3 linked regions of the Nothobranchius furzeri genome follow. The protein of the gene in region 1 interacts with the protein of each later gene in a biochemical or structural test. Links are inferred from orthologs where the notes say so. Each region holds a gene or a part of one and is shown on either strand. Other genes may lie near its edges. The genes, in order: nr0b2a, smarca2 and esrrga.

What was found.
Region 2: the proteins of nr0b2a (region 1) and smarca2 form a complex in vitro, tested with the Homo sapiens proteins (2 studies listed by BioGRID). The link is inferred for Nothobranchius furzeri from reciprocal best matches to the Homo sapiens genes NR0B2 and SMARCA2.
Region 3: the proteins of nr0b2a (region 1) and esrrga form a complex in vitro, tested with the Homo sapiens proteins (2 studies listed by BioGRID). The link is inferred for Nothobranchius furzeri from reciprocal best matches to the Homo sapiens genes NR0B2 and ESRRG.

What each region holds. Positions count from the first base shown.
Region 1 is NC_091745.1:40,690,725-40,700,909, forward strand, and holds nr0b2a (nuclear receptor subfamily 0 group B member 2a), read left to right. Parts: upstream 1-4,985; 5' UTR 4,986-5,424; coding exon 5,425-5,959; intron 5,960-6,044; coding exon 6,045-6,310; 3' UTR 6,311-6,512; downstream 6,513-10,185. Other genes in the region: kdf1a (keratinocyte differentiation factor 1), read right to left, coding at 8,178-8,263, 8,869-8,943, 9,315-10,185. UniProt on the Homo sapiens protein: Transcriptional regulator that acts as a negative regulator of receptor-dependent signaling pathways. Specifically inhibits transactivation of the nuclear receptor with which it interacts.
Region 2 is NC_091750.1:37,859,954-37,870,366, reverse strand, and holds part of smarca2 (probable global transcription activator SNF2L2), read right to left. Parts: intron 9,351-10,413; coding exon 9,108-9,350; intron 7,215-9,107; coding exon 7,101-7,214; intron 6,133-7,100; coding exon 6,028-6,132; intron 5,784-6,027; coding exon 5,697-5,783; intron 3,111-5,696; coding exon 3,064-3,110; intron 1,615-3,063; exon of another isoform or gene 1,513-1,614; intron 171-1,512; coding exon 4-170; intron 1-3. UniProt on the Homo sapiens protein: ATPase involved in transcriptional activation and repression of select genes by chromatin remodeling (alteration of DNA-nucleosome topology).
Region 3 is NC_091749.1:33,776,442-33,786,854, forward strand, and holds part of esrrga (estrogen-related receptor gamma a), read left to right. Parts: intron 1-5,579; coding exon 5,580-5,686; intron 5,687-5,772; coding exon 5,773-5,935; intron 5,936-8,969; coding exon 8,970-9,214; 3' UTR 9,215-10,413. UniProt on the Homo sapiens protein: Orphan receptor that acts as a transcription activator in the absence of bound ligand. Binds specifically to an estrogen response element and activates reporter genes controlled by estrogen response elements.

The sequences.
Region 1 (10,185 bases):
TAGAAACTGTCTGTTGCCTGACGAGCTGAAACTGTTTTGGAATTGGGTTTAGAGCTGCATTGTAGGTGCTGGAAGGGTGGAACCTACAGTGCAGCTTTAAACCCAATTCCAAAACAACCATCATAACACATAACGACATAAATGACTCCTCATGGGGTAGTGAGGATGGACACGTCTAGGTAGTTCAGCTTGTAGACAGCTACAGTTTTTAACCCTCCCACTGTCCTAATGGGTGTGACCCCGCGAGGAAAGTTGACCATTGAGCAGAACTGATGGTTTATTCCTTGAGGTACAAGTGGCAGGGGTGAGGAGTGAGCACCACCTCACCCCTGCCACGTGGACCTCAAGGGATAAACCATCAGTTCTGCTCAATGGTCAACTTTCCTTGCGGGGTCACACCCATTAGGACAGTGGGAGGGTTAAGCTTGACCCTCAGAAATGACAAAGCTCCTTGGATGAGAGGCAAAACATCTTCAAGAAACCAAAGAAGTCCAGTTGCCTTCATTTGAACCCTTTGGACATCCATCACACTGGATGACTGAAAACCTTCACTAGCATACTGATAACTGAGTCCTTAATAAATCATTGTAATTTGACACAAACATGCTCAGAAGTAGATATGTAAGTGTGGATTCAATTCTATGAATTGAGCTTCCAGGTTAAATAACTGATCTTTGTGGTGATGACCCGGTAAAACAGGAGCCAGACAGAGTCCTGTTCTACATCTGACGGTCATCACACACACACACACACACACACACACACACACACACACACACACACACACACACACACACACACACACACATTTGGTCGCATGGTGAGTTCACTGACCCAGTGGGAATACACAGCAGCCTTTGCTCAGGAGACGTTTTGGGACAACAAACTGAGTGTCAGTGGGATTCACCGATAGTTCTGCTTGAACTGTAAATATTTTCACAGGAGTGGAAATTCGATTCTGAATTAAGGAGTTACATCACGTTTGCTTCCTTGATTGCAGATTGTTCCTCTTACAGTATGAAGGACATTTTATTTTCTCTTTGGCAGCAGAGATAAGCTGGTGTCCTCCGTGCTTGTCTCCGCCTGCTCCTCACCTCCATAAACTCGGGCCTTATCGCAGGACTTTACAGCTGTCATCGCGCTTCACAACGCTTGAGGGCTGCAGAGTGTTTTGTAGGTCAACTCTGGAGAAAGTCTCACATTCGTGATGATTTTGTGTTTTACTGAAGCTCTCGTGCCTCATCCTGACTTGTTTCAGATCTCGCATTATTGGCCACGAGGATAATTCGGGAACAGAAAAGGAGACTAGGAAACATTTTCCAGAGGAATTTTTCAAGGAATGAGTAAATGGAATGATGCAATAAAACTAAGATTCGGTGACTGGTGCTGCCAGTTGTGTCTGGTGTCTAATCTCTTTATTGCAGTCATACACTTGGAAACTGTCCTTGACTCCAGCGCTCGACGGGTCACCTCCTCCGAGTCTCGGATACTTTAACGGTTCGTGTCAAATAAAAACAGCAGTTCCATGGTTTACGTTATGACTTATGAATGCGGTGATCCCTTTTACAACTCAAAGATCTCTTTTATTTGACAGTTGTGTTTATTTGCGACCGTAATAAAGTCATTTCCTTATCAGTCTGGAACCTCTGTGCCAGGCACGGAGAAGGATGGCGAAACGTTGTACTGCCCGTTACAGACGCCGTGACTCCGACTCCTTGACACTCCAACAGAATAAAATCATGACATAAAACCTGCTCTACAAAGAACAAACACTACAAGCTCCCAGTGGCCTGAGCGGTTTTTAAAGTCAAACGTGATTCAGAAAGTTCAGATCTTCTGTGTGGAACAATAGAGACGATTCCTGACCAGACTGTTAGGCTAACAGCTAGTTTATTAAATACTTAAAGCTGCTTTCCAGAGTTTTCCCCTTTCAGAAATGATGTATGATTTGTCAGAAATCTGTAAAAGTGATTATCTGATCATGTACTGTGATATAATGTAAGCACGCCCCCCGCCCCGCAGAGCTCCGTGCGATAGGAAACTGAGCGCCGACCAGAACTAACCAATAGCGTTAGACGAGCGCTTACTTGCTTCAAATTTAAGGAATACTTCGGCTGATGCAGATTTGATGAACTTTTCACGGACAAGTAAGACTTTAAAATATAAATAAATGAGAACACAGCCTGACATGAGAATAATACTCGTAAAACAACACGTTTCAGCTGTTTGTCGGCTACAGAAGCACATTTATAAACGGAAACGGGAAATCGCCATCTAAAAAAAAACAGAGCGAGAGTTTTTGTGTCATATGCTTGTCGGCCACTAGATGGTGCCATCGGATAAGAGAAATACTCCGGAAAGAGACTTTAAAACAACGCAAAGTTAAAGAAATAAGTTTTATGCAAAGATTATTTTATAAGGCTTTGCAATGTTTTAAGTTTTGCACAACACAACTTTTAACAAAGTTTACTGTCATTTGCATTTGAAGGAGAATCAGCTATCTGTAGCATTTCCCGTTTGTAACATCGTTGGTTAGATCTTTATTTTCCTGCCGGTTTACCTGTATAATATAAAACCGAAGGCGGCATAAGCCTGACAAACATCTCAGATCCCATTAGACCACTCAACTTCTTCCCCAGGAATAACCCACACCTGCGTATCAACCAACCACATTTAAAATCTCTTTTTGTCCCTTTCGTTGTACGTGTATGTTCATAGCTGAGAACTTTGCACCACCCTTTTGTACAATTCATGTTTCATGTTTGCCCTGCAGAAGGTGATGTAGTGGCAATAAATACATCTTATGTTCATGCTGTTATGTTTATTAAGCTATGCTTAATTTTCTGTCCCTTTTGTTATGTTCTTATAGAAGACTTGGCTAAACTGAGGTTGATGCAAACATCCTTTGTGTGTTTGGGCCATCCAATGATTTGTTATGGTTGATTGCACATGGATGCAACTTAACGCAGAGCACCGGTGTTCTGCTGAGCTGTGGTGGCCTCATGGAGCGGGCCGCCGGCTAGCATGCTGCTGCTAACTACTTAACATACTCCCTCTCTTATTAATAACATTTTACTCTCTTTAACGTTGTATGTGCTACTACTAGTTCACCTGTTGAATCAGTTATATGGGCCATTCCCATCTGTACCGGGTCGGCCCGGGCCGGGTAGCGTAGGTTGTTTACATATCTGGGTGGCCTGGTATTTTTCCGGGCCAACCAAGGCTCATTCTCAGCCCTCTTCTCAAGGGGGTCTGCTTCAGGCCGACCAGGGCCAACACACCCACTGCTGACAGCAAATTCACACCTTCCATTAGAGCAAGCCTCTGATTGGTGGGTAGAATCAGCCCACATGGGCTTAAGGCAAGGATGTGTGGAATCAACCGGGCCAGGCTGGGGCCGACTGGGGCTACCCGGCCCGGGCCGACCCGGTACAGATGGGAATGGCCCATTAGATTCACCCAGATAAAGACAATAAAGTTTATTTCTCACTAAATAGAATATTTAATAAGAAATCACAATCTAGCCATAGGAACACCACTTGGTGTGTGTGTGTGTGTGTGTGTGTGTGTGTGTGTGTGTGTGTGTGTGTGTGTGTGTGTGTGTGTGTGTGTGTGTGTGTGTGTGTGTGTGTGTGTGTGTGTGTGTGTGTGTGTGTGTGTTTGCGCTGACTTCCCAATCCCCACTGTCGCTACACACTTGCTTTTGAGGATTGCTGCAAAGACCTAGTCAGTGACTCGATGCCGTCTGCTGAGTTAGGAGCTATATAAATAATCTGAACTGAAGAAAAACATGTACATTATTGAGATTAGTTGTGAAATGGCCAACAACAAGAGAATGTAACATTTGTAAAAACAATAACACTATTTCTTTTTTGATCAAGATGCTTTTTTAGATAAGTTTGTCTCACAAACGGAACATCTGCAGTTAGAATGCCTCATTTCATTTCAAATGTGTTGACAGCAAAATAAACATGTTCAAAAACTTCTACGTAAATGCAGCTGTTACTCAGGAACTGGGCAAAAGCAAATGCAAACAAAGAAACTATAGAAGCAGACATTTGTAAAACGGGTTAATTACGTTCCAGATCACTAACAAACACTTCTGTGCATGTTTCAAATGAAAAACTGGTCTTACACACGACCCTTACGATCACACAAACAACCTTTTAATCTTCTGTGTAATAATCGTGTTAAAGATCGAAAAGGCAGAATTAAAACGCAAATCTTGATGGATATCCATTAACGGTGTGGAACACTGAAAAAAAGTTTTAATTATTATTTCTGATTATAATCGGTCTCCGAGTGTTTCGTTCATGCTGAACATGAAAATAGTCTCCTACACCTAGGATTTGAAAAGCCTGACAGATCTACGCCACGCTGTCACCTAACATTCATGGACTCACCCTCCTTGACTCGCGGCTGTTGTTGGCTTAGCATCCAGGAAACAGCAGAGAGGTAGTAGAAGCTAACGTTAGCACAAGCAACTCCACCACACAGCAGACCTCCTCCAGGCTCGTGTTATTTGTGGAGAGAAAACATCAACGTTGAAGAGCAAACAGAGTCAGTGGTAGAGTCGCGTTGCTGCTAGCCGGTCCGATTTTAAAGGTTAGTAGGTGAAGTGGTTATAAGGTTGAAGTATGCTTTGGGACTTCTGAGGATTAGATGCATTAAGTGTACATTTTACCGTTTGTTCCCACCCCAGAGTTACAGGTTAAGCTATCAATGCAACTTGCCCCTAGGGGGCTCGCTACAGCGATGAACTTGTTTTATATTCTTCCCGAAGTCATTTGGAATCATTTCAATAGTTCCTTTAGTCATCACACACTGTTGAAATTCATCTCCGCATTTGACCCATCCCCGTGGGGAGCGGAGAACTGCAGCTGTGGTCGGGAATTATTTGGTGGTTTTATGCTACTACTACTGTTTCCCTAAAATTGAAGCATAATTCCCACTGTTCCCGGTTTGGAAACGTTTGTCTAAACTAAACTACGTTTGATGAGAACACGATGTGAAGGTCAACGGCCTCCTTTGTGGTCTGGCCTCCTTCCAGCACTACAGGTGTGAGCTGGCGGGTGCAGTGACACAGCGTGGGGCTGATTACCTCTGCAGTCCTTGGTAGCTTGGTACTGCCTGGGTTGATGACACTGCCTTCCAGATAAGGCCAATCCCACTTGATATCCATGTGTGACTCCAGCAGCTACTTCTCAATGAGAAAAGCTTATCTGTTTCCCAGGGTTATTCCAGCAGTCACCTGGCAGAGCGCGCGGTTGTTTTTCACATTGGGTGTATTGACATTTCAAGGTCCACTAAGAAGGGAGGGTTGGCCTTATAAATAAGACTGGAGGAAGCAGCAGCTCTCAGAAGCTCAGACGGAGCCCGTCGTGGCAGAGAAGAGGTTCAGAGGAGCAGCCGCATCGAAGAAAGATGGATAACAGATGCCAGTGTTCCGCTAACAAACAAAGGCAGTTAAACCCGATCCTCTACAACATCTTGAGCCAGATGGACAGCGGTAGACCGACTCCAGACACCTCCAGCCACAGTTCCGTTCCTCACAGATGCAACTGTGAGACGCGGCGGAGAGTGTGCTTAAAAAGGCCGTCTGTGGTCTGCAAAGAGGCGTCTGCAGTTCTGGTGAAAACCGTCCACTTCATGAAGAACTTGCCAGCGTTTAACCAGCTGCCACCCAGTGACCAGTTTGCACTACTTAAAAGCAGCTGGGTGCCACTTTTTATTTTGGGTTTGGCCCAGGAGCGCGTGGACTTTGAGGTGGCGGACGTCCCTGCTGACAGCATGCTGAAGAAGATTCTCCTGAACTGCCAGGAGAGCCCTGAAACAGAGCGGGAGCAGCCAACCATGGCAGGCATCAGCAAACTCAAGTCGTGTCTCAAAAAGTTCTGGAGTCTAGATGTGAGCCCAAAGGAGTACGCTTACCTGAAAGGGACCACGATATTTAATCCAGGTATGTACTGCGTTAACTGGATTCAGACAACAGATAATCCAAGGACTCGTTTGTCAAGCAACAATTCTGGTTTTCTCTCAAACAGATGTACCAGATTTGAAGGCAGGCCTGTTTGTCGAAGGCTTGCAGCAGGAAGCTCAGCACGCCCTGAGCGAGGTGGTCCAGCTGCTTCACCCTGGCAACCAGGAGCGCTTTGCTCGGATCCTCCTCACAGCCTCCATGCTGCAGGGCATCACACCCAGCCTCATCACCGAACTCTTCTTCAGGCCTGTGATAGGCCAGGCCAACCTGCTGGAGCTGCTGGTCGACATGCTCTTCAGCCGATGGGAGGGGTGGTCCTCGGGATGGTGACCTCCATGCAGCGTGCTTTAGAGGCTTCTATAAAGCACACTAGGGTTTTGACTTTCGTCCGCTGAAGCTGAGGTCACTTCACCGTCTGAGCAGAACTCCTGAGAGGTTTTTGAGTTTTGATCCTACGTGTCGATGAGCTCCTCTGCTGTAAATAAGCATCTGCATTTCCAGAAAACTTGAATAAATATATTTTTGTACACGACTGAGTCCGATCCGTGGATCCATCCTCCATTACATGTTGTGCTCAGCAAACTTTTCAGAAAGTCAAGCGTAAGCCTGCGCGTTAAAGGAGAGAATCTAAAATTAGAATGAAAACACACATTTGTGGCTTCAAATGGAACAGAAAACCTTTTTTCTGCCTGTACTGCTGTGCTGTGTCTCCCTCTAGAGGACGTTTGGTGGAAGTTTTTTTTTCTCAGAAGACTAGCGGCAAATATTTTCTTACTTTTGCATTTCTCACAAAACCACAGCATCAAGATCCCCCCACCCCATCGTCACAAAAAGGGACAGAATGGCACGAACGCTAAACTCAGCGCAGTATAAAAAAACACTGTCTGCATGTAGTTATTTGAGAAATCAGGCTTAGTCATCCTACTTTGTGGTATGTTAGTTGTGAAACCCTGTCTTTACATGACAACTCGTACAGGTAAAACAGGAATGTGCTGGTGGGGGCGGTGAGCCGGTGGAAATGGGGTTACGCGTGGAAACGGCAACACAAACAAGACAAAAGGAGAGTCCAAAATGCTTCAAATCGAGTGCAAAGTGGAAAAAAACTACACATTTTTGTTGCTGCAGCAATTTTTCTTTTCAGCAGATATGAAATCATCCAAATGTTGGAGTTGTTAGGATAAGGTGGCTGTAATCTGCTAGATTTACTGAAAACTTAGAACCCGGTGCATTCAAACTGAACATCTTCATTTGAGCAGAAACAAGAAAACGTGAAACAACGATCAACGCGTCCTAAAACAGATTAGAACCAGAAACCAAACTCTTCATTCTCTTCAGGCTCCTGCAGCAAGTCTAGTTATCGGAATTGCTTCTTTCCTTTTTCCATGAATGACAAAGACAAACCTCGGGATTTTATTTCCTTTCTGTCAGAACCAGCCAAACGAGTTCCTCCTTTTGCTGAGGGCGGAAAAAGCCTCTACCTGCTAGAACGCTGACCTCGGAGACGAGCCTGCAACAATCCCAGATTCGGAAAAAAAAGGAAAAGTGAGCTGGAGAGGAAGAAACTCGAATGAAAAATGATTTCTTGGTGTATGAAAGCTACACTAATATGCCAGTATTCCACTTGTGGCTGCAAGAGAACATAAACACACTTAAATATGCAATAAAAAACACAAGAATTTAGTTTATTTTTTTAAAATACAACTTTTTGGGTAATATAAAAAAAGACACCAAACGGCACAATGCAACATCATTTCAAGAACAGTTATGGCTTCAGCACAGTTCTGCTGCTTAAACATCAGCAGCAGCAGCAAAAAAAAAAAAAAAAAAAAAAAAAAACATCTCAGGTTAAAGAAACGGTAACAGATCAGCTCAGACAACACAACGCTTGTAAAACTAAAAAAGGAAGGAGGACGGTTATGACCTACCACGGGGTTTGATCCTGTGGCTTTCTGACGGCTGACTGATGTTTTCAGAGAAGTCTAAATCTTTAGAACACTGATCACAGGTTTACCTAAACATCAAAAAACAACGTACACACCTTTGTTCAGGGGGACAATTCATAGCAAAAAGTGTCTTCTCCTCTCACTGGAGAACTGTAACCATCTAGAGAACGGTGCTCTGCTCAGTAACAGCATCCATGGCAGTAGCAACAGCAGTCGGGTGACACCCTTCTGCAGTAAAAGCACATCAAGTCTCTTCAGATGAGCAGAGGAGCTCCTGACGAGTGACTTCCTGTGTCGTGATGGTACGGCGAGGAGACCGTGGCGGTGCTGGAGGAATACGCTGGTGGAGAAGCAACATTTGTACAATTAAACAACTCAAACAGCGAGGGCTCTACATCATCTGCACGGGGAGGGTTCGTGCAGTGAGAAAGCTGCAGAAACACAACGTGCTGTACCCTCATTCAGAGGCGTGTAACCAGACACCTTTAAACTGCCTGTTTGCTAAAAAGCAAGTTTGAAGGGAGAAAAAAAAGCCAGTTGCACTGTAATTTATTAGTAACCCAAGTTGTTTGCTAACATGACGTAACGTTACAAGGTGTAGATTTGATGTGACTCGATCTGCTGCTTTAGCGGGAGGTGTAGCATGACCGCTGAGCTGGGGTGGGGGGGATAAAAGAGCCTGGAAGACCGGCACGGCATTAGGTGGGACTGTAATGTGCGAAGAAAAAGGAGAAGGAATGCTGTTTGTTAGAGAAGTGTGCTGCTGGAAAGTAGGGAGGAGGTGAGAGAAAGCCTGCAGCTGCAGACGGCACAATGGTTAGGGGAGATGGGAGCCTCACCATGCAGACAATCACAGACGGAGGAACGCTAAATTTTACACCCGAATTTCTCCAGACAAAAAACGGGTCAGTACACCCGTCATGGAAAACTCCCAGGTGCACTCACTTCTCCCACTGTAAGGTCTCATCTTCCTGGCCAGCTCATCCGACGGCGTCCGCTCAGACACTTTCACCTCCGGATCTGTAACACAATTAGAACTAAATAGACGCAGAAATGAAATGTGGCAAAGCAAACACAGAGGGCCTCTTAAGGGCCCTCAATAAGCTCCAGTGTGATCAATAGTCCGGTCATCTGCTCTCACAAGGTTTTGGGTTTTCCGCACTTGTATCAACTTGCCTCGGATTAGCAGATTGTTTAATAGGCCTGTAAACTGCTTTGTGTTTGAGGGTTTATAAACAAAGACAGCAGAGTCCCAGCAGACACGATGAGTCACCGAAGGGGAAACGGGTCAGATGTTTGTTATTTCTGGCCTTCTGCTGAACAAGACAAGTGGAAAAGTCTACTGCACCGATTATTACTGCGAGACAAAAACGGTGTCATGCAACTCTTACAGTCGCTGCTCATGAAGGTCATGGTCTCGGTGCCGCTGTCGGGGAGCGTCCCGTCGTTCCTGCCGTTGGGACGCTGCGCCGCTTGTTTGTGGCTGGGGTTTTTCTTCGTCTTCCTCGTGCTGATGCGGATGACCCCGTGCACCAGCTTGCACTCGGCCTCCTGCTCCTCCAGGTTGTAGTTCTGGGCGATGCTGTAGATGAGCTCGCTGATCTCGTTGGTTTTGCGGGAGAAGGACTGGTCGGATGTGCACTTGGCAAGCTCTTCGATCTGATGCAATGCGTAGAGCTCCAGCAGCTTCTTGGTGATGAGAGAGTCCACATCCGTGCTGTCGCACGGGTCGTCCAGATCGTAGTAGTCGTTGGACAGCAGGCTGGTGTTGCTGACCGGTCGCTGGCTCTCCCCCTTAGCAGGTGCACGGGTCCGTTTGGGGGCGTTCACCGGGTAACTTACGATCTCCCCCCTGAAGCGAACATCTTGGTATCGGAAGCTTTCATTTGCAGGTAAATTGGAGTGTTTTTTGGGTTCCAAGGTGATGTCACGTGTTGGGTTGCTCAAGGCCATGCCATTAGGAGGCTCACTGCCCATTTTATGTGGGTGGTCGGTGGAGCTTTCATTAACAGGCAGACAGGGCTCCCGGCTGCCGTAAAAGCCACAGGTCAGCAAACAACAGAGGAGAGCCTTGCAGCTATTCCAGCCCCTTGAAGCGCAGGAGCCACAGGTGGGCCTGCTGGTGGGCACGCTGTCTGCTGACCCTGGAATAAATCCTATAGTCTCTGAGCTCCGGGCCGTGCCGTTCCGTGGGTGTCCTCTGCCGTGACCGTACTTGTTCTCTGCATACCGGGGGCGCTCGTTGTGCTGATGATCTCCATG
Region 2 (10,413 bases), on another chromosome or scaffold:
TACCATCGAGGCGCAAGTACTGGAAGTTGCGATAACCGAAGTAATCCTCCATGATGGTCATGAGGGAGGTCATCTGGCAGAAGAGCAGAACTCTGTGGCTGGTGGCCTGGAGCTTCGGTAAGATGCGATCGAGCAGCTCGAACTTCCCAGACGCTCTGTACAAATCAGGTCTAAGAGGAGAGGATTACGTTCCATGGGAGTTTCAGAGAAACACGAAGCAAGTATGAAAAATACTAAAACCTCATAGAAAAGACACAAAATGAGGCGATACGTGTGTGAATGGAACAGTTACTCTTCAAGCCAACTTTATTGATAAGGCTCTTTAAAACAGCCAAACCGACCAAAGTTCAGACAAAATTTATGAAGAATTTAAACCTGTACAATAAAAAATAAGGCAAATAACACAATAGGATACACAAAATGTGTTAAAATGAGATAAAAATCAATAAATCTCAAAATGAGAAAATCACAACATAAAACTTATTGGTGTGACCTCTTCAGCAGGAGGCCAAAAATGCTGGATCAAACTGAAAAGGGCATTTTTAGCAGAACTGCTGTACAGGGTTTTTCCTGCGTTCAAATTTGCGTGGCGGCCGCCTCCAGCTAATTTAGTGCTGCCCCAGCCTGATTTCACTCTGCCCCCAGCTATATGGGTGTTATTTTAACTGCAGTTGCAGCGTTGCGTCACTACAAGCCGCTGTATTAGCAGCGGTGCACCGAAAAGCACTAAAACCGCTGCAGAAAAAGATCAAAAATAGCTTTTCTCGCTAGTTGGTACATATCTACGGTTGGTGCAATTTACATCCTGATTTACCCCAGGCTCATCCATATCAGAGCAGGGCTGTACAGTGGTGTCTGTCTATTTTTAAACGTAGCACTGGTGCAACATCTTTGAATTACTATTCTCCCCAGAACTTTATTGTACAAAAGTAAGTTGCGTGTAAGAAAAATGCTTTTTTACTGGCGCACAGTGCGGTCATCTGGATGCAGTGGAGGAAAATAATGGGCCATTCCCATCTGTACCGGGTCGGCCCAGGCCGGGTAGCCCCAGTTGGCCCCAGCCTGGCCCGGTTGATTCCACACATCCTTGCCTTAAGCCCATGTGGGCTGATTCTACCCACCAATCAGAGGCTTGCTCTAATGGAAGGTGTGAATTTGCTGTCAGCAGTGGGTGTGTTGGTCCTGGTCGGCCTGAAGCAGTACCCCTCGGGAAGAGGGCCGAGAATGAGCCTTGGTTGGCCCGGAAAAATACCAGGCCACCCAGATATGTAAACAACCTACGCTACCCGGCCCGGGCCGACCCGGTACAGATGGGAATGGCCCATTAAGGAACCAGCAAAGGCAGAACCGGTCCAAAGTTTGGGATCAAAAGTGCAGCTACACGCAGATTGGCTAATGCTAAAGCTAACGGGTAGCAGTCTCACGATCAAGTGGCGCACGGAAAAATATATGATGATGATGATCGTAAAACTAAGAAAGACTAAACTCTACAAGCGGATGAAAAGTTCCCACCATCCTGTTTATTCTGCATGCTGCAGCGTTACGGATCAGAACCGCTGCAGATGCGAGTCACATTACTGCTGGCGCAGGCTGTACGGCAAGCCGTTGTAGTATATAATTCACAAAGGCTTCTATCTAAGGCAAGCCATTGTAGTATATAATTCACAAAGGCTTCTATCTTTGACCATAATTTGAACTGGATTATTGCCAACCATTACACATGCCACCATTACATTGTTAGCAGTAGAAATGAAATGTTATTACCAATTACAATCCAAATGCATGTTAATGAAATGCATTATATTTTACTGGATATATTTATGTGTTATTTTGACTTAGACGAGTGTTATTAATACAAACCTAAAATGTTCCTGAAATGTAGGTCAAATATTTAAAAATATTTTAAACTATAAATATCAGATGGGGAAAAGGGAACTAAACACCAATCTAATGCTTATCATTGAGCCTTTCACAATAAGAGTCTGTTATTTCAGCCTGATAATTTTGTTGTTTTATTTCATATTTTTTAGCAGCAAACCTGTTTTGTTTCACCTGAAACGTTGTCAAATGGAATATTCTCTTAATCAACAGAAGCTTAGATTAGAACACTTAACGAAAACATATGTTGCCTTTAAAAAAGTGAGGCAGTTGAATGCACAGAGTACGAATGTGCTGGCGCACGGTCAGGATGGTACCACCTCCGCCTCAGTTTGAGCCAGTTGTGTTGTGTTGTGTTTATGAGTCCAGTTGAGGATAAAAAGGATACATTTAAATACATGAATGAAAAATAAACATTTCTAACTGAAGTTTTAAAAAATCTGCATTTATCTGTAAATACATAGAAGTCCACCTCCTTTATAGGTAATGATTTAATATTTTCACACTTTTAATTATGCAATACTTCAAAGGAGAAGCCTTCTACTTTGTCTTCCACATGATTACAGCATAACAATAACGCCAACACAACATACAGGAAATGTATTTAGAAAGTAGAAAGCTTCAGATGATCAGAAATCCAACGCTTTAGGACTTCCGACTCCGTAAATAGCTTTCCACCTGCAGCCAGTCACAGGAGACGCTCTGATTTTTAGTCCTTCCACAGAAAGCAGCTGCTGCGCACCCACGTCGCGTCTTCTAACCTCGTTTAGCATTTATGAAACACTTTTAATACATTTTATTTTTTCCCAGATCTGACTTTGTAAGCAGCACCTGTTCATTAATGAACCATAAAGGTTTCCTGTCGGCTCTAAATCAGTGCTGTTTCATTAATTATGCAGCAGGATGATGTGAACCAGCCACATAAAGGTGATTATCTGGACATTACCACCATTGGTAATTGGTGCATCGCTTCAGAACGCACGTCCACCTCTGACACTTACTCATGCGTCACCTTTCATAATTACAGACACTTTACTCATGATGCAAGAAGGAACACACGTCAGAGTTTATATGTGATGGACCTGCATTCATTTTCACTGAATAACTCCTAGAGCTGCATGATGAAATTTCCCTGAAATAAGGTGAGTAACCTCAGAGGGCCTGGGCCTTTTCTGTGCTACTTACCCGCTGATGATGCCATTCGGATAACCCAGGTGTTCAGCAAAAGACTCCTGTACCAGGAAACATTTACATGTTTAAATATGGAAAGCCTTTTAGGACAGATGATACAATTTCCCTTTTAAAAAAAAAACTCGGAGCTACTACCAAACAAAGCAAATGTGTGCATCACTTCAGAGCACAGCCTTACAGCTCGTGTCGGATGAGAACAGAACCATAACTTTTTAGACTAAAGCAGAAAATCTCAGGCCCGTGCAGCTAAAGAACAGGTACAGGGGAGTCCCACCAGTCCTTTGAAACACATCTAAGCTAGCAAAGAACCAACAGGTAACCCATGCAATCTGCTGTCACGGCGAGAAATCAAAGCAACACGGACGAGACGGCACCTGAGCCGAGACCACACTGTAGGGACGGGGTGTGCAACGTGAAGAAATGCATCAGGTGACTGCTGACATCACGCTGCTGCACAACACACTCTATGCTTTATTTTCATGAATGATGGTGTGCAGTTGTCAGTATGGCACCACATGCATGCTGACGGAATAATGAGGCAGAACCGGGTCGCTCCTGCCACAGAAAACCACCAATCAGCAACGAGGGGCGCCATCATGGAATTAGCAACCACGTTGACGGTTTAATCTCGGCACAAAAACCATGTAGAGGTCAATTATTTAACTCGTTCACTGTCAATGACTTTTCTCCAGCCCTCAGAGAGTACAGACACTTTTTTTCTCAGCTCCCTTATCTGCTTCCCCAAGGCTCTTGTCCTGTCTGCCTACAGAGCACTTCTCTGCATTTCTCCTGAAATCACTACTCTTTTTTGGAAATATGGACTTAATTAACTGGTCATTCAACGCGATTGATAAAATTTTTTCTACGATGAGAACGGAGAAGGGGGTTCCCACCTGTCCCGAGGGGACATATGCAGCGGGATATGCACTCGATTCTTGGGAGGTCTGGCGAGTCGTGTGCCTCTCTCAGTTGTCCATCGAGGACGTGGAAGATTTGTGGATGTTCGGCCTGATGATCGCTGGATTTCTTCTGATTGGAGTGGGAGGATATCTGGTTTTCTGGAAATTTGGGAAGACGGGAGCGATTGGAGTGCGACCCGTGCCCATGGAATGTGCCGCCCGGGCGGTGACCTCACAGACTGGGACGTTACTCGAGGTGAACCGTAAGCTGGACAATGTCCTCGCGGCGTTGCCTGTGTTAGTGCGCAAGATGGATGTCATCTCAGAGAGGGTCGCCGGACGATGTGGGGATGTTTAGAACGTAAAATTGGCTTCACTGGTGGACATGAATGACCACTTATAGACTCCAAGGCAGAGAGGAAAATTATCTCTGCCTGCCCCAAACAAAGTCATGTTTATCCTTATCTGACGCCAAGGCAGCCTCTCAAGGCTGCTTCAACACACCCCCACGAAAGGAGGAATGCTGACAGATGCTGTGCCCCGACCTTCCCCCCCGCCTTCAGATTGTGACTTCTGCTGAGGTCAGCGACCTGCAGGAAACTCAATGTGCTCTCTGTCCCTCATTTCTCCCTCCCACCTGTTGGTCTGCAGCTGGTTGATGCGCCGTACTGGCAGCTCCCGTTGGAGGCTTCAGGATCCCGCCCAGCCCCGCCTCCCCATCGGACTCTGATGTTTTGTATCTGTGCTGTTTGTGCTTCTATGTTGAGGAGTTTTTTTTTTTGTATAATAGTTACTCCCCGCTGGGTCTAACTCTGCTATGCCTTTTTTTACCTTACCCCCAACTATCCTCATGTAACACCCTTGTCATCTATCTATTAAGGTAGTGCGACTCATGTTGCGAATGACCGCAGTCACCAATTCTTGTCATGTGTCTTACCCATGTATGTCTGATCTCTGAATTGTGTGCACTGAAACTCAATTTCGTTTCTCTGCATGTCTTGCACACGTGCTAGAAATGACAATAAAATGACTTTGACTTGACTAAAGCCGTCTTTGGCATTTTTTTTTTTACCGTGTGGGCGTCGGACGAGCCCCCGCACCGTGAGAACAAACATCTCAGCTCTAAAGCTGATCTTCATCCACATACGTCACACGTCACGTGATCAGGAAGCAGAACATCCATGTGTTAGGAGATCGTTTTGGGCCGCTGCTGTAAAAATGTCAGGCGGCGAAGCGGAAAAGCTTCTGCCGATCACAATTCAACAGCGGCAGGGTTTCCTCCAGCGCTTTATAAGCCTGGCGGCCCGCCAGGCTAAGCGTCATACCCCACCCCCCTCCCCAACCCTACCGTGTCCACTGACACGAACGGCGCTACGAAACTAGAGCCCTCCATCAGCTGATACTGGTGAGAAACAGCAGCGGAACGTGTGCAACCCCCGCTCTCACGGAGGAGCGCGCGGGATGTGTCGTCCCAACCGTCACAAACGGAGAAGAAGTGAGTTAGTGTGGCGGAGGGGTGGCGTTTACGTCACAAATCGGGACTTTTTGGAACCAAACACCGACAGAAATGGGTGGCCGGTGTTTTTAGTCACATCTGGAGTGTTTCTAGAGGCAGCAGAAACCCACATGGCAGCACAAAAACAATCCAAAAGGAGAGATTTTCTTCACATGTCCCCTTTACACGAGTCAAAAACATATTTAGTGACAAACTGTGTCGTCGGCGCTCACCTCTATGTGCTGGAACATGTAGGGATGGTTGCAGATCTTCTTCAGCTGCATGATGGTGTTCATCAGAGTCTTGGCGCCTCCTTTGCCCTGCAGCAAATGATCACAGATAAAAGAAATGTAAAGTCCTTTCAAACCAAAACAGAGCCTTTTATCTTGTGAGGGCAGGGATTCAGCACTAGAATAAACTCCGAGTGCATTAGTCAGGAGATTCAAAGCTCCTTTGATGTAAACAGTCGATTAGCGTTAAATCAGCACAAAGGGAGCCCAACGCTCAGTAACCACAGCACAGATTACAGCAGGCACAAACAGGCGGCGAGGCTTCAATGTTTACCTTCTTGTCTTTCTCTGAGCCGTCGGTCAGGAGGATTCCTTTCTGCATGTGGCGGTACAGAACCTTCTGTATCGCAGACATGTCGCACTTTATGACATACTCCACCTGAGAGAAGGAGATGAAGTAAAAGCTAAATCCGCTTGAAGGTGAGGTTGTTCCTCATGATAGTTTCAGCCCTGAGATTAAAGAACTAAAACACAAAGTAAAGGAGAAACTAACGTTTTCATCTGCAGGGAGATCCTTGGAGGTTTCAGCTCAGGAACAGAAGACGTCGGAACAACTTAAAACGTTAGTTAAGACGGTTTCCAGCAGAATGATGTCGTCAACCTATCCCGTGTTACTTTTACCGCATGAAGGTAGCTCAGTGTACGAGTGTCGGTAAAGGCAGAGTTACGGGATACAGCAGAAGCAACCCCAACAGCAGCTGAGGCGTTTCCTACAAGCTTCAGTCGCTGTCTGAAGCTAAAACGTAGCATCCAGGGTCGTTAGCGCTAACAGCCTCTTACGAGGGAGGCTGCGTCTAACCAGACTCTGCAGAGCCGCGAGTCTGCAGGAGAAACACACCACCCGTGTTTTCTACCAGCAGCAGAACGAGGTGAGGCCGACATAACAACGGTGAGTGAAAGAGGAGGGCGGACGTCGCTGTTGCCGCGGTTACATCAGCACAGGAACGAATTTCATCACTAAAATAAAAACTAACCTTTCTACCCAGAAAACGGGGTTGTTATGCTCCTGGTGAAGGAAAGGAGTGATTTAATGAGAAATGAGCTGAACTCGTGTAGCGCCTTTCTGAGTCAGAGGACTCCAAAGTGCTTTACGCTACACGCTGGTGGTGATGAGCTACACCGTAGCCACAGCTGAGCTGGGACGCTCTGACAGAGGCGAGGCTGCTGAGCACAGGCACCAGCGGTTCCTCCGAGGGCTAACTCTTAGCCCCTGAGCTACCGTCGCACCAAACCAGCTCAACCCCAACCTGCCTGACTGTCGCAGGCTGACGGGACGAAAGGAACGGAAACCAGAAATGATTCAGCGACCAAACGAAAGCAAACACCTGCAACAGCAGCTGAACTCACCTTCTCTGGCAGCTGAGACTCCACCTCCTTCTTCAGCCTGCGGAGCAGAAACGGGCGGAGCACTTTGTGCAAACGGCGGATGATCAGGATGGTTTCCTCCTCGTTAAGGTCCACCTGAGCAGGTGAGAGGGGTTAGTGACTCAGGTGTGTTCTGCAGAAAGAAACAAGCTAGGCTAGCAATGCGGGGAGGGGAGGGGCGGCATAGAAAACAGATTCAGGAGATCATTTGGTTTTTGTTGAAATAATAACTTTGAAGATGAATTTCTGCCATGCAGCATCACAGCTGGCTCGCCCTCAGACAGGAGGAGGAGAGACGCGCGGCTCGGTAGAGTAAACAACGAGAAACTAGCCTGTGAGGAAAACTAGCAGCAGATATTTCAATTCAATTCAAAAATACTTTATTAATCCCAGAGGGGAATTCCGTTTCAGGATATTTGATCTGGGAGTGGTTTGGACTTTATGGAGGAAGACTTTGAACAAACGACAGGACGGGATCTGAGACTCATGCTAACACATGCTACCACCGACAAACAGCCACCACGGCTGACCTTGCTAGGACTTTTGCTGATCAACACCATCTGGAAGAACGTGCCGACCGTTTTATTCTGCTCGCTGCTCGGCTGTCAGGCTGAATTAAACCACAACTCAGTGGCTAAAAGCAGATTTTCTACTCCATCAGTGTTTACCATAAAAAACTGTGGCGTTCGAGCTGAAAAACACTACAGTTTTACTGACTTCGTCTGACCCACACAGACCAAACTAAAGTCAGATCTCATAGGAATTCTCCACTCCTGTGATCCTTTTGTTTGCTGTGTGATGAACGAGGACTCTGCTGCTGGAGCTGATCCTCGGGGCTTTGCTCGTCCTCGTGGTTCCTTCATGAGAACTTCTTCAGATACAGAATACCAGAGTAAAGGAGGGTTGTGGGTGTCGAGTATGTTAGAAAGCCGTCATCGGTACGCGTGTGAAGCTAAGAGGCACATACAACATGCCCGAATACATGATGCATCAGGTGGGAAGAGCAGTAAACACAACATCTGCTTCTCCTTTCAAGCAAACTTTCAGAGCAAAATGTAAAGCTGAATAAATTATAAAAGGGGAAAGATATAAGAGCAACACCGACGTCTGAGTTTCCTGCTCTTCCTGCCAAAACAGACATTAATTAAATACACGAAGAAGGAAATATAAAATTAAATAACGGAGTAAATAAAGATAAACAAATATATGTTGTAAATGTGGTGAGAAGCTCGGTCATGCGGGAGGGGCTCGGAGTAGAGCCGCTGCTCCTCCGCATAAAAGAGGAGCCAGTTGAGGTGGCTCGGGCATCTGGTCAGGATGCCTCCTGGACGCCTCCCCGGTAAGGTTTTCCGGGCACGCCCAACCGGGAGGAGGGCTAAAGGAAGACCCAGGACACGCTGGAGGGACTATGTCTCTCACCAGGCCAGGGAACGCCTTGGGATTCCCCGGAGGAGCTGGCCCAAGAGACTGGGAGAGGGAAGTGTGGGCCTCTCGACTTAGGCTGCTGCCCCCGCGACCCGACCCCGGATAAGCGGACGGATGTTGCAATTATTTCCACATTTCCCTCTCGCATTTATGCTAGTGAGGCGGGCGTTTCCACCTCTGGCCATAACATGATTGGTCAGCTTTGAGAAACTGAAATTCCCACAAACTTCCTGGTTCCGTTCTGGGAATTTTCACAGGAAACCAAAAGCACCTACAAGCTTTTCTGTACATGAGCCTGAAATGATGCAGCAAAGCCGGCGTTGACTCGCAGCGTTCCCCGCCTCGCTCTCTCGACTTCCAGCGCTCGTGCCTGACTCCAGGTGCGGAAATAAATAATTACAACATTTATTTATTTTTCTTTTGTTTTCATCCTGTCAAACGAATCACTGGAGCCGCTAAAGCTGGTTAAACATTTCTGTGGCTCTGCCGGTTTCCGTCTGATGTTTCTAGTGATTTGTGAGGAAAATCGGTCCCTCTGGGGGAGATTAAACAGTGAGCCGTTACCCGCTCTCCGGTCATGGCGAACGGGGCGTTGAACCACTGCTCAAAGGTGCTGCAGCTCTTGAAGATGGTGGGCAGCAGGAAGTTGAGCAAGGCCCAGAGTTCAGGAAGCTTGTTCTGCAGCGGCGTTCCGGTCAGGAGGAGGCGGCGTGGAGCCACGTAGTGTGTGTTCAACACCTGGGTCAGCTTACAGTGGTGGTTCTTCATACGATGGCCCTCGTCCACGATCATGTACTTCCAACGGATCTGGAGTGAAAACACAAACTAGCTAAACCCTCAGGGTCAAACCAGGACGAGCTCCAAAGACTCCAGTCTTGATCCTCAAATGAAAACAACTTTGAATTTTATCCAAAGTTTCTTCATTTGTATGTTTTTCCATTCCGTATAAAAATGATCTCAGCTCCTCGTTGAACACGATCACAGCAGGAGGGAGAAAAACAAACTCAGATGTTGCACAAAAGTCAATAAAAGTTTTAAACACATTTCATCACCGTACAGCTGCTGAAATCAGCTTTAAACCGCTTTTCACCGACTAAGAACCAGATAATCATCGTTCTGCTTTAAATTACAGAAGATAAGTTCAGCTGCTTTCATTTCCTACAGTTTAGTTGACCTTTAAAGCATCTGCAGACGACACGACGCGGCCGTAAGCGAGACTAAATTGGATCCAACGTTCTGTAGGTCATTCGTATTTAGCTCATGGCGGAGAAAACTCGCTACCAAAGGTTTCGTTTAGGAGAAAGTAAGTAATAGGGCTGAGCGAGTACACCACTATCTGTATGTGTACGTGGTGTGGGCGTGGCCTAACCCGGAAGTGGGTGTGGTTTACATTAATACATTGTTTTAAGTCTGAAATTGATATGGATTGATCAGAAGTTGCTATGAGTATTGTTTATTTGAAAAGTATTTACAGAACAGCCTCAGAATTGATATTAAATATTTTTGATTGCAATAGTAAAGGAACAATTTTTTCAATAAAATCAGAACATTAATATTTAAGTGCATGAATTAATGCAGAGAGAGAGAGAGAGAGAGAGAGAGAGAGAGAGAGAGAGAGAGAGAGAGAGAGAGAGAGAGAGAGAGAGAGAGAGAGAGAGAGAGAGAGAGAGAGAGAGAGAGAGAGAGAGAGAGAGAGAGAGAGAGAGAGAGAGAGAGAGAGAGAGAGAGAGAGAGAGAGAGAGAGAGAGAGAGAGAGAGAGAGAGAGAGAGAGAGAGAGAGAGAGAGAGAGAGAGAGAGAGAGAGACAGAGAGAGAGACAGAGAGAGACAGAGAGACAGAGAGAGAGAGAGAGAGAGAGACAGAGAGAGAC
Region 3 (10,413 bases), on another chromosome or scaffold:
AATATGCACACGTTTAAAAAAACACACATATAATAAGTGAGCGCATGGGAGCCACGTACAGCAGAGCAGTGAACATAGATACTAAAAACACTCATACACACGGGGCAGCAATGTGCTGGTAGCTGTTGGAAACTTCACGTGTCTTCATGCAATCTCTGTCTCAGCGGGTGAGTAGGCTTAAATCTGTCCCCTGCAGAACACAATGCATGCACATGCTGAACACAGACAAATCCACGGTTCTCATCTGTTGAGTTTCGACAAAACAAAACAATCAAAACTCCTCATGTCTTCTTTAAACAAACCTAGATACATAAAGATGGGATGTGTTGGGATAAGATCGCTTCGCTAAATCTGTTAGTTTTTGCAGAAAAAGGTAAAATCATCAGTAGTATTCTACCAGTACTGTATTGAGAAAAATACTACTAAATGTGTTCATCTAATGAACTAGCTTCTGCTCTTGGTACTTTGCCTGCAACAGAACCCGTGTTCAGATCCTTTATTTGCTAGAGGTGTTTCAGCTCATCACACTGTCATAGCACTGTTGCATGTTGTCTAGAGAAATAACACATCCTTGTTTAGTTTTGTTTTTTCTTGTGTATGAGCTTTAGGCCACGATGCACTATCACACCACGTTTTATTAAGTAACTCCCTGGATCTTCTCAGTGCATCAGGAGTTTTACTGTTGTGTACCATTCCAGCTACAGGCTTTAAAGCTGCCTCAAACTTTAAAGCAGACAGGCTTTGATAGAAGTGTGAATCACTGCTGTCTCATTGCTCAGACAGTCTGAAAAGTTTTTTGTTAAATATGTCCCATGGCTGTGGTCAAGTAAAGCAGAGAGCGGGACTTCCAAAAGAGATGCTCAGCTGTTACAAGTCTGTTGGGGGAAGGCTGCGACTAATTTTGTACCTTAATGCATCCTCAAGTGTGTTGTGATCCTGCTGCTAGTGGCTGCGTTGTCGTGGTTATACAACTCAGTTGAAAGGAATCTAGTCAGCATTTACCTTTATGTTATTCAATTACAAAGGCTAGCTGCTAAAACCTTTTTCACTCTTCTAATAAAAAAATAATCCTTTTCAAGGTTCATAATACACAAACACCTCTATTTAATCTAAACTGCAATCTCACACTGGGATTAAGTCAGTCATTGGCGCATTCGCATCAGATGGAGCCCAGTGGCACTGGTTTGACCTGCTTCTGTGCTGGCAGTTCACTGATGACGTGCACACGTTTTAGTAAAACCCATAACTTCCTGTACAAGGGGTAAACATGTTGACACAAAACATTTTAAAGAATTAAAAAATGTAATACTTCATTTATAATATGTAATTGGATTAAATCTGAATGGGTACAGTTACCTATTTATATTTGATTTGTCCTAATAAGAAAAAAAAAAGCCCAAAAATTCACCAGCTGGATTCCTGAATGTGGAGACTGGTCGTGTGTTTCTAACTGTCACCAGTTTTCACGCATTCTAGCTACACACATGCAGAAACACGGTGTACCTTCTTGGATTCTTGGAATCACATACCTGTACACATTTCTGTATAAATGTACAAGAAAAGACACACACACACACACCCTCATAAGCATCAATCGCTTCTCACTGGTTCCCATTTGCCCTGTAACCACACAAAACAAATATAGGGCTCCTAGATATGTGCGTTTGTGTGCATCTGTGAAGCAACTGGAGCATGAGAGAGGGCTATCCTGTAGGTGTGTGTGTGTGTGTGTGTCTGAGCCAGACTGTTGTGCGGTCTCGGGTGTAAACGTGCAGTCAGGACTCATTTGGCAGACAAACAGGCCGCAGGGTGGCTGGGGAGTCGACGTGTTTCTGTGTGTGTGTGTGGGGGGGGGGGGGGGGGGGTATCTAATAGAGAAAAGTGAAAAGAAAAGAGAGAGCCCAGAAGAACAAACTGCAGAGGTTAAGTTTGCATGGCTGAACCTTAGCCTCTTTCTGTCAGGAAAGCCAGTGCACACATCGTTTCTTTAGGCCCCTTCATAGGTGTTGTAGCAGATCGTTCTGTTTTCGAAATTACACTGAAACTCAAGCATTAATGTGAAGTTCATGACACAGTTACTTGACCTCAATTCGAGTATTTTAGTTCAGAAACAAAACTTTAAACCTAAAGCATCCATCCATCTATTAGTGTCTGCTTATTCGGAGTTGGGATGCGTGAGCCGCAGCCTAAGCAGAGAGGTCCAGACTTCCCTCTCCCGAGCCACTTGGGCCAGCTCCTCCAGGGGAATCCCTAGGCGTTCCCTGGCCAGGCGAGAGACAGAGCCCCTCCAGCGTGTTCTGGGTCTTCCTTTAGGTCTCCTCCTAGTTGGATGTGCCTGGAAAACCTCATCAGGGAGGCGATGTGGAGAAGCAGCTAATCTACTCCGAGCCCCTCCCGGATGACAGAGCTCCTCACCCTGTCTCTAAGGGAGAACCCAGACGCCCTGCAGAAAAAGCTCGCTTTAGATGCTTGTATCTGTGATCTCTTTCTTTCGGTCACTACCAAAAGCTTGTGACCATAGGTGAGGGTTGGAACGTAGATCGATCAGTAAATCAAGAGTTTCTGTGTCATGAACATTGTGCCGGACTGTTGTGGAAAACCTAAAACTTGATCCTTCCAAAAGTTTAAGTCTGTTCATGACTTCTTAAATGTTTCCAGACTATTGTTTCGTACACATTTGAAACCTGCACTGCTAGTCAGGCACCCAAGACAACAAATTTGCACAGCGTAACGCAAACAACACACTCGTACTTCCTCACTTTGTGTGAGATGTCTTATCAACAATGAGCAGAAAGGAAATGTGATTAGAGCCAAATCAGGAACCTTCTTTTGTCAAGTGAAATCACAGGTATGAAAGAAAGGTCTCCGCCCCTCCCCACCTCCAGCATCACCTCTTCTTCTTCCACCTCTCCTCCCTTTACTTTCATCTCTTCTCCACCTCTCCATCAATACCCCTCTCTCTCTCCATCATCAGCACTAAATTCCCATTGATGTTTCTTTTCTTCTGTTGTATCGATCGCTTCATGAGAAGGAGGGGAGGAGGGGGGAGCGAAGAAGGGAGAGATGGTGTTATCTGTTAATTAATTTGTCCTGAAGCCGGCCGCCTATTAATCAGACAGATAAGAGGCATTGGATGGCTGAACGGCACAGACAGACTGGTGGGGAGGGGAGAGGGGGTGGTACACACACACACACACACACACACACACACACACACACACACACACCGATGGAGTTACACATGCAGATACTTATGAAAATATGTATGGGAATGCATACAGGCAAACAGTGATAAAAGACAAGCCAGCCATTTAAATGCAACAGTGGTGTTTTTTAACGTTCAGATGCAAAATGTAAATACGTACTTGTTTTTAGAATTACACAAAATGCTTTCACACACACACACACACACACACACACACACACACACACGCACGCACGCACACACACACACACACACACACACACACACACACACACATAAACCTCAAAATGATAAAAAACCATTGATGTGCCTCAATAAAAACCGCTGCAGTTCAGCTCAATAAATTAATTAGGGTTTTAATTATTGGTGTTTTCTCTCTCTCTCTCTCTCTCTGTGTGTGTGTGTGTGTGTGTGTGTGTGTGTGTGTGTGTGTGTGTGTGTGTGTGTGTGTGTGTAAACATGTGTGCACTTGGTTTGTAATTAGATGGGAAGGCGTTTATCGATGATGGTGAATATCCTCTTATTAATAACGAGCTTCATATGCAGACTTTTTGATGACGTTAACAGTTTTTGTTTTGACTTTGTTCAGATGTGTTCTGGACAAGCCTGTGGTGCTCGTGGTTCACTTTTTAAGCCTTTATTTTGCATTAATATACCTACACTAAGAAATTGAGGAATTCAATTGTGTGTGTGTGTGTGTGTGTGTGTGTGTGTGTGTGTGTGTGTGTGTGTGTGTGTGTGTGTGTGTGTGTGTGTGTGTGTGTGTGTGTGTGTGTGTGTGTGTGTGTGTGTGTGTGTGTGTGTGTGTGTTAACCTCTGAGACAACCTCCTTCAAAGGGAACTGCCAGTTAGAGCGCTGAAAACACCCATGGAGGAGTTAAAACACACAACCAGTGACACTATTAAATGATATTAACCCCTCACACATGCCCTCCTCTCTTCACTAGACCTTGGGGCTGAACAGATTCAATAAGAGCTTGCGTGATCATTTTAAACATGCCAGCTCATATTTCCTGAGCCCAAAATGAGTGAGAAGGCACTAAAGACCCCCTAAAGATATCTGCTCTTTGTGTGCATGCGTGGGTGTACAAAAACCCCCTTAAGAAACGTACCTCTAATCCCTTCTGATGATTTCATTAGGAAGACGAAGGTACTTCCAGTTGGCAACAATACTGCTTCCTTCACAGAGCCATGTGTGTATCATTCATACACATTTGGATGTATTCCAGCCTACTCCTGTTCACATTTGTCCATGCACGCGCATGTTTGTATCTGTGTTTTATTTTAAGTGTCTTTGTTGGATGTTATAATAGTGAGTTGGCAGAAAGCTCATTGCAAGCAGCAATAGCTTGCAACCTGGACATAATGAGACGCCTGCCATTACCCATCAACACACAGTAAGATAGGAGCTTCTAATGTGCACCTGCACCCTCAAACTCATCATCACACATTCCCTCGTACACCTTGCATCTCAAGAGGAGGCCCATTGCAGCAGATGTTGTTGAACCAAGACCTTCTTTCTCATCTGCTTGCATTTCTTGGCAGGCTGCTCCTCTCAGATTCACATGAACACACAAACTGGGAGTCTGCAGCGAGGTCCAACAGGTGTGCCTGCGTGGCCTACTGTCTGTGCACTCACAGAAAACACACATACGCAGACAGGCGTGTGTGAACGGACAGGTGTGTGAGGAGCAGACAGCTGTGAGGAGAGGTGCGAGTGGGCAGGTGTTCCATTAAAGAGCCAGAGAATGAAGCGTAGACGATAAGTGAGAGACTTAAGGACGTGAAAAAACAGGAAGCAATCAAATCACAGCTGGGAAAGCAGGTTGGCCTGAACAGACGGGACATTCAGGTCAGGATGTATCAAGATGAAAAGAATCAGACAAACAAATGGCCAATCATAGACTGACACGAGCAGATAACAGGGCCAAGACTGACACTAAAGAAAACAGCGTTTTTGAGGCAACAGCAACAATTAGCATGTGTTTTTGAGCAGTGCTGCCACGATGGCCAGCATTGATCTGTGGAGGCTGTGGCAGGCGGAGATAAGACCTGCCATCCCCCAGGGAACAGCCCTGGGCAAAGGGGAGAGAGGAAGTCGAGGAGGAGGAGGAGGAGGGCTCATATGGATGGGGGAGTAAAGGAGACAGAGCAGAGTTGCTCTTCAATCTCTCACTAAATAAACTTTTCTACTATTTATTTTCTAACTTTTTTGTTTGGTTTTACTGTTGGCATCTATGTAGGTTCTACAAAATGCTCAAAATGTGTTATTTTTATATTAGTAACAAGGGGAAAAATCACTTCTTAACTCTGCTGCATTGTAGGTCAAGAAAACAAAAACATCTGTGCTCATTCAGTCCTCTTTCTTCACCAGGTTTCTCCACGCTTTCTTTAGCAGACCAGATGAGTCTACTTCAGAGTGCATGGATGGAGATATTAATTCTGCGCGTCGTGTACCGTTCACTGTCGTTTGAAGACAAGGTACGTGTTCCATCTCTGTTTTCCTGTTGTTATCAAATACACTGCTTTAAGTTTTCCAGGGTCACGCTCTCTGTGCTTTCCTCCAGCTGGTGTATGCGGAGGATTACATCATGGATGAGGACCAGTCCAAACTAGCTGGGCTCCTTGACCTGAACAACGCCATCCTTCAGCTGGTCAAGAAGTACAAAGCTGTAAAACTGGAGAAGGAGGAATTTGTCACCTTAAAGGCCATCGCCTTGGCAAACTCAGGTTAGACGTTGTTCTTGTCTGTTTGCACGTTAGACTGCTGGAAGAGAGTCAATCCCAGGAACCTTCAGTCCCACGAGGCTCATTTAAGCTGACACGTCAGTGAAGTGATTTCAGTAGTCTGCATGCAAACGCACTCTTATAGAAGATGCACATGTACTCATAACAATTATTTTTTTCCTTTTACAAGAATGAGTTAACTTTCCCAACTTCCACTGTAGACCCGCACGGTTGTCGTGTCATGCTACAGATGTAACATGCGCCTACACATATTTTTGTTTTATGCATGCGCCACTAGCATGCGGTTAAGCACAAACGTGCACAGATGTGTTCAGACTGAATTCCACCCCCAGACAAAGTGGCAATCCCTTTTAATAATTAGCATAGTTGTCTCTTCAGATGCCTGTTAAATAAAGTGAAATCATTAGAACTCTAAATCTGTCGATACAGCCCCGCCTCTGATGTGTCCAGCTGCATCGACAGCTGACTGACACACACACACACGCACACGCACACACACACCTTCTTCCTCTGATGACCCATCTTTTGAACTTTGTCTTGGAAGCTGGCCAGCTCTTCAGTACTCTTTAATTACAAGGGGAAAGCTGTCAATACGATGTGTTTAAAAAGGAGAATGCAGTGCAACAGCTTTCACAGAGGAGGTGGGGGGGCTTTAATGTCACCATCATCAACACACTCACAAACAAGCACAAAAACCAACATAGAAACTTAAAGTTGAACCATTTATTTCCTCTGATGTTGATATTATATTACGACTGTAGAAAATGAGTGGATTTTTAAACTTACTGTAGAAGTGATTTCATCACACTTAGTGCTCCATATGCAAATGCAGAAAATATTGATACTTTGTTATTCCCTGAGCTTTGTGTGACAATCAATGTGTGCGTGTACACGCATGCATGCACACAAAATATAAATTTAACAGTCAACATCATTTATTCTTTTTTTTAATTAAAAAGCCACATTTTGAAAATCGTGAAAAAAAATCCCCACAAAAAAGAGAATCCTCAAAAGAAAACATTTCGACAGGATCAACTGTATAAAAAACATCTTTACATAAAGTGACAAAGACATAAAATCTTCACTTCTTTAGCCAACGAAAATGGCTGAATTCCACATACAGTAAGAACTTTGTTTCATTGCCTCGGCTCTAACTGCTCTTCAAGACAACAGAATGCTAGCATTAGCATTTTGAAGGGCACTGACACTAATTAATTCACAGGATGCTAATCGTTTGCATTAATGAAGCCAAGCCTTAAGAAATGTTAGCAAACGTGCCCCACATGTAAAGAAAGCTAAACTGGCCATGGGAAACAGAAGGCACACGTGTGTGTTTGTGTATGTGCGCGCACGGTGGTGTGTGCAAGTTTCATGTTAACGTGTGTGCTTCAGCAGCCTGCTTGTGCTCATTAACGCCTGCTGGTTTACTTGTCAGTGTTCGGCGGGTCAAACAGGCAAAAGCCACGAACGGCAGCTTAGACGGCACGCTTTAAAATAACAAACAAAAGAATGCGATACTCGTTCAGCTTTAATCGGAGTGGAGGATTGTTTTTGCAAGAATATTCATATTAATTCTAGTGTGTTCCAACACAAGGGTGTTATTTTAACAAAAAGTACATTAAACAGACTAAAATGCATTTGCTGATCGTATCCAACAAGCAAAACCTAGTTCAACTGCTACATTTTTAAGGGGGAAAAATACAACAGAAGACCTCAAGCCAAAACTCTGAGGCCGAGCTTTCTATTGATCCTCCCAGATTTTAGCACACTGACCAGTCGGGTCCTGCATACTGATACATGCATTACACTCCGTAGATCCAAGTCTGTGCATTTGATTGTGTTGCTGGTGAATCTGTGTAAGTGTCTGTGTTGACTCATTTCATCTGTTTTATTTATTTTCATTTTGCACGTCTTACTTTCTGTGCAGAGGTTTGTTTACTTTTAGTCCTTTCTGAGCCTGAGAGAGCCTGCATGTTTGTCTGGACAGAGTTTCTGTTGGTACCAAATGACAACCTTAAAGTCTTAAAGAAAAGGTCCTTATAAGTGGAGTTAGAGTTTGTAAGAGTGTGCGGATGAGGCCATTGATAGTAGGCTTGTGATTATTATTTAACATGTATGTAATCATTGATTGGAGACATTGATCGGAGGTTGAGAGCTAAAGGCCAGCTCACATTAAGACATTGCCTCCCTAAGGGGCGATACGGAGCATTATTACTGAGAGACATTCTCATCCTTTACTGCCGTACATGCTGAAACACACCTAACGCCAACTCAGAGAGATTACAGATGTCTGCAGCCATGCACCTACACACACACGCACACACACACACACACACACACACACACACACACACACACACACACACACACACACACACACACACACACACACACACAAGAAAACACTATTAGGTGTTGCAGCGTCTCTTCATCATTCTAGGAGTCCATCTATTTTTTCTCCTCCCCCTCGTTTTTTCACCTGTCCATTCATCACACCCACACATGCACACTTTAAAGACAGAGGTAAGATGAGTGCCTGACTAGATTTAGTGATAAACCCCATTCCTGCCTTTAATTTTGTTTTTGTTTTTTATTCAAGTGTACAAAATCACAAATTTGAATGCTTTTTATTTAAATGCAAATGTGGTTACTTCTGCCGCAGACATCAAAATCAATAGAAAGTCAATAGAATTTACATTTATTGGATTTTCAACCTGAACATATGATTCGGTTGAGAATCTCTGCTTTGTTCTTGCTTGGATTTTAGATTAAGTTTGTTCAGTTCAAGCCACGGGCCCCTCCCAGACAAAATCAGCATGCTGTTGAGCAACACAGCAGCACATGCAGGCTCTGCTGCTCACTAAATCAGAACAAACTATGTTTAAAGTTTAAATCCAACCGTTTAGCAAAATCTCTTTATTTACAGTACAGTTTTATATTTGGGCATCAGTCAGTGCTGTTTATTTATTTAATTTTATTTTACTACTCTAACATGACGTTTCCTCTCTCTCACCAGACTCAATGCATATTGAGGATGTTGATGCAGTGCAGAAGCTCCAGGACGTGCTCCACGAGGCCCTGCAGGACTATGAGGCTTCCCAACACCAGGAGGATCCCCGCCGGGCGGGCAAGCTGCTCATGACCCTCCCCCTGCTCCGTCAGACCTCCACCAAGGCTGTGCAGCACTTCTACAGCATCAAGCAGGATGGAAAAGTCCCAATGCACAAACTCTTCTTGGAGCTGCTGGAAGCTAAGGTGTGAGGATAGGGAAGGAGAAGACACCAGTCTGAATCACCAGAGCTTCGTCTCAAACTTTGATCAACAACTTGAATGACCTCTTGCTCTTTCACATGCAAACACTCCTACACACACGCAGACAAACACACACGGTTTGCTTGGCTATTTTATCGCTCTATGACTAAAGAATCTATCTAGACCCAAAACCTGAACCCCAAGCCACTAGTTGACTAAAGGGCGTCCACTGCTCTCTGTTTTGGGGGAAATGTGTGGACAGCTGGACTTGACCCCTCCCCTTGGACCAACTGAACAAGACATTACGCACAGTGACTCGCATGTCCAGGTTGTGACAAAGACTTATGCATCGAGTAAAAATGAAGATGTTATTAATGACACACAATAATGAGGACACCTTTAAAAGATCAATAGAAAATTATGTTGTAGTTAAAAGACTGTAAGACTGCACTTGTGCCCCCCACCCCCACCCCCACCCATGTCACCAAAAAGAGTTTTTTTTTTGTGTTCAAGAAGAAAATGAATGAGGAACACTTGGAAAGTGTTCATGACATTTGTTGTACAGAGGAGTCCGGATGGATAGACGGGAAGAAAAGAAGAGATCCGCCCAGCCAAAGGATGGAATCATCCATTCAGAGGAGGCCTGCTACCTTTACTGTCACATCCCGATCTGTTTCTGGTTCTGAGTGGTTCTCAGTCCTGGGCCTGGCTCCCCGTTCTGACAGGCATTTACATTTTCTGTGGTTGTTGTGAAAGCCAGCCACGCTGAGAGCTTCTCAGACCAGGACTGGAAACAACCGCTTCAAACATTTTCTGGTGGTTCCTGAATTTCGTACCTTGTTTACAGATGGCCCTTCTGTTTCAGCTACAACTTTAACCGTCTGTTGAACTTGCCGAGGACAGACGTCTCCGGCCTCCTGGAATAGTATCGTAACAGTGTTTGTGCACTTGGTGAAGCTAAAAATTATTTAAATAAGGACAAATAAGACCTGAGGTGTGTTAGTTATCAGACAGTTTTTTTATAAATATACAAATTTGTAGAAGATGAAATCAAACTTTTGAAAATTCCCAAAAAGCTTAATAACTGTTCCCATTTTTCTGTGGAACTAACAGTCTTTCAGTCACTCCTCTTGTGTTTGGATGCTTGTTTGGAACATTTTTAGCTCATTCACAAACCGAGTCGCAGCTCTCCACACACCACTCTGCTC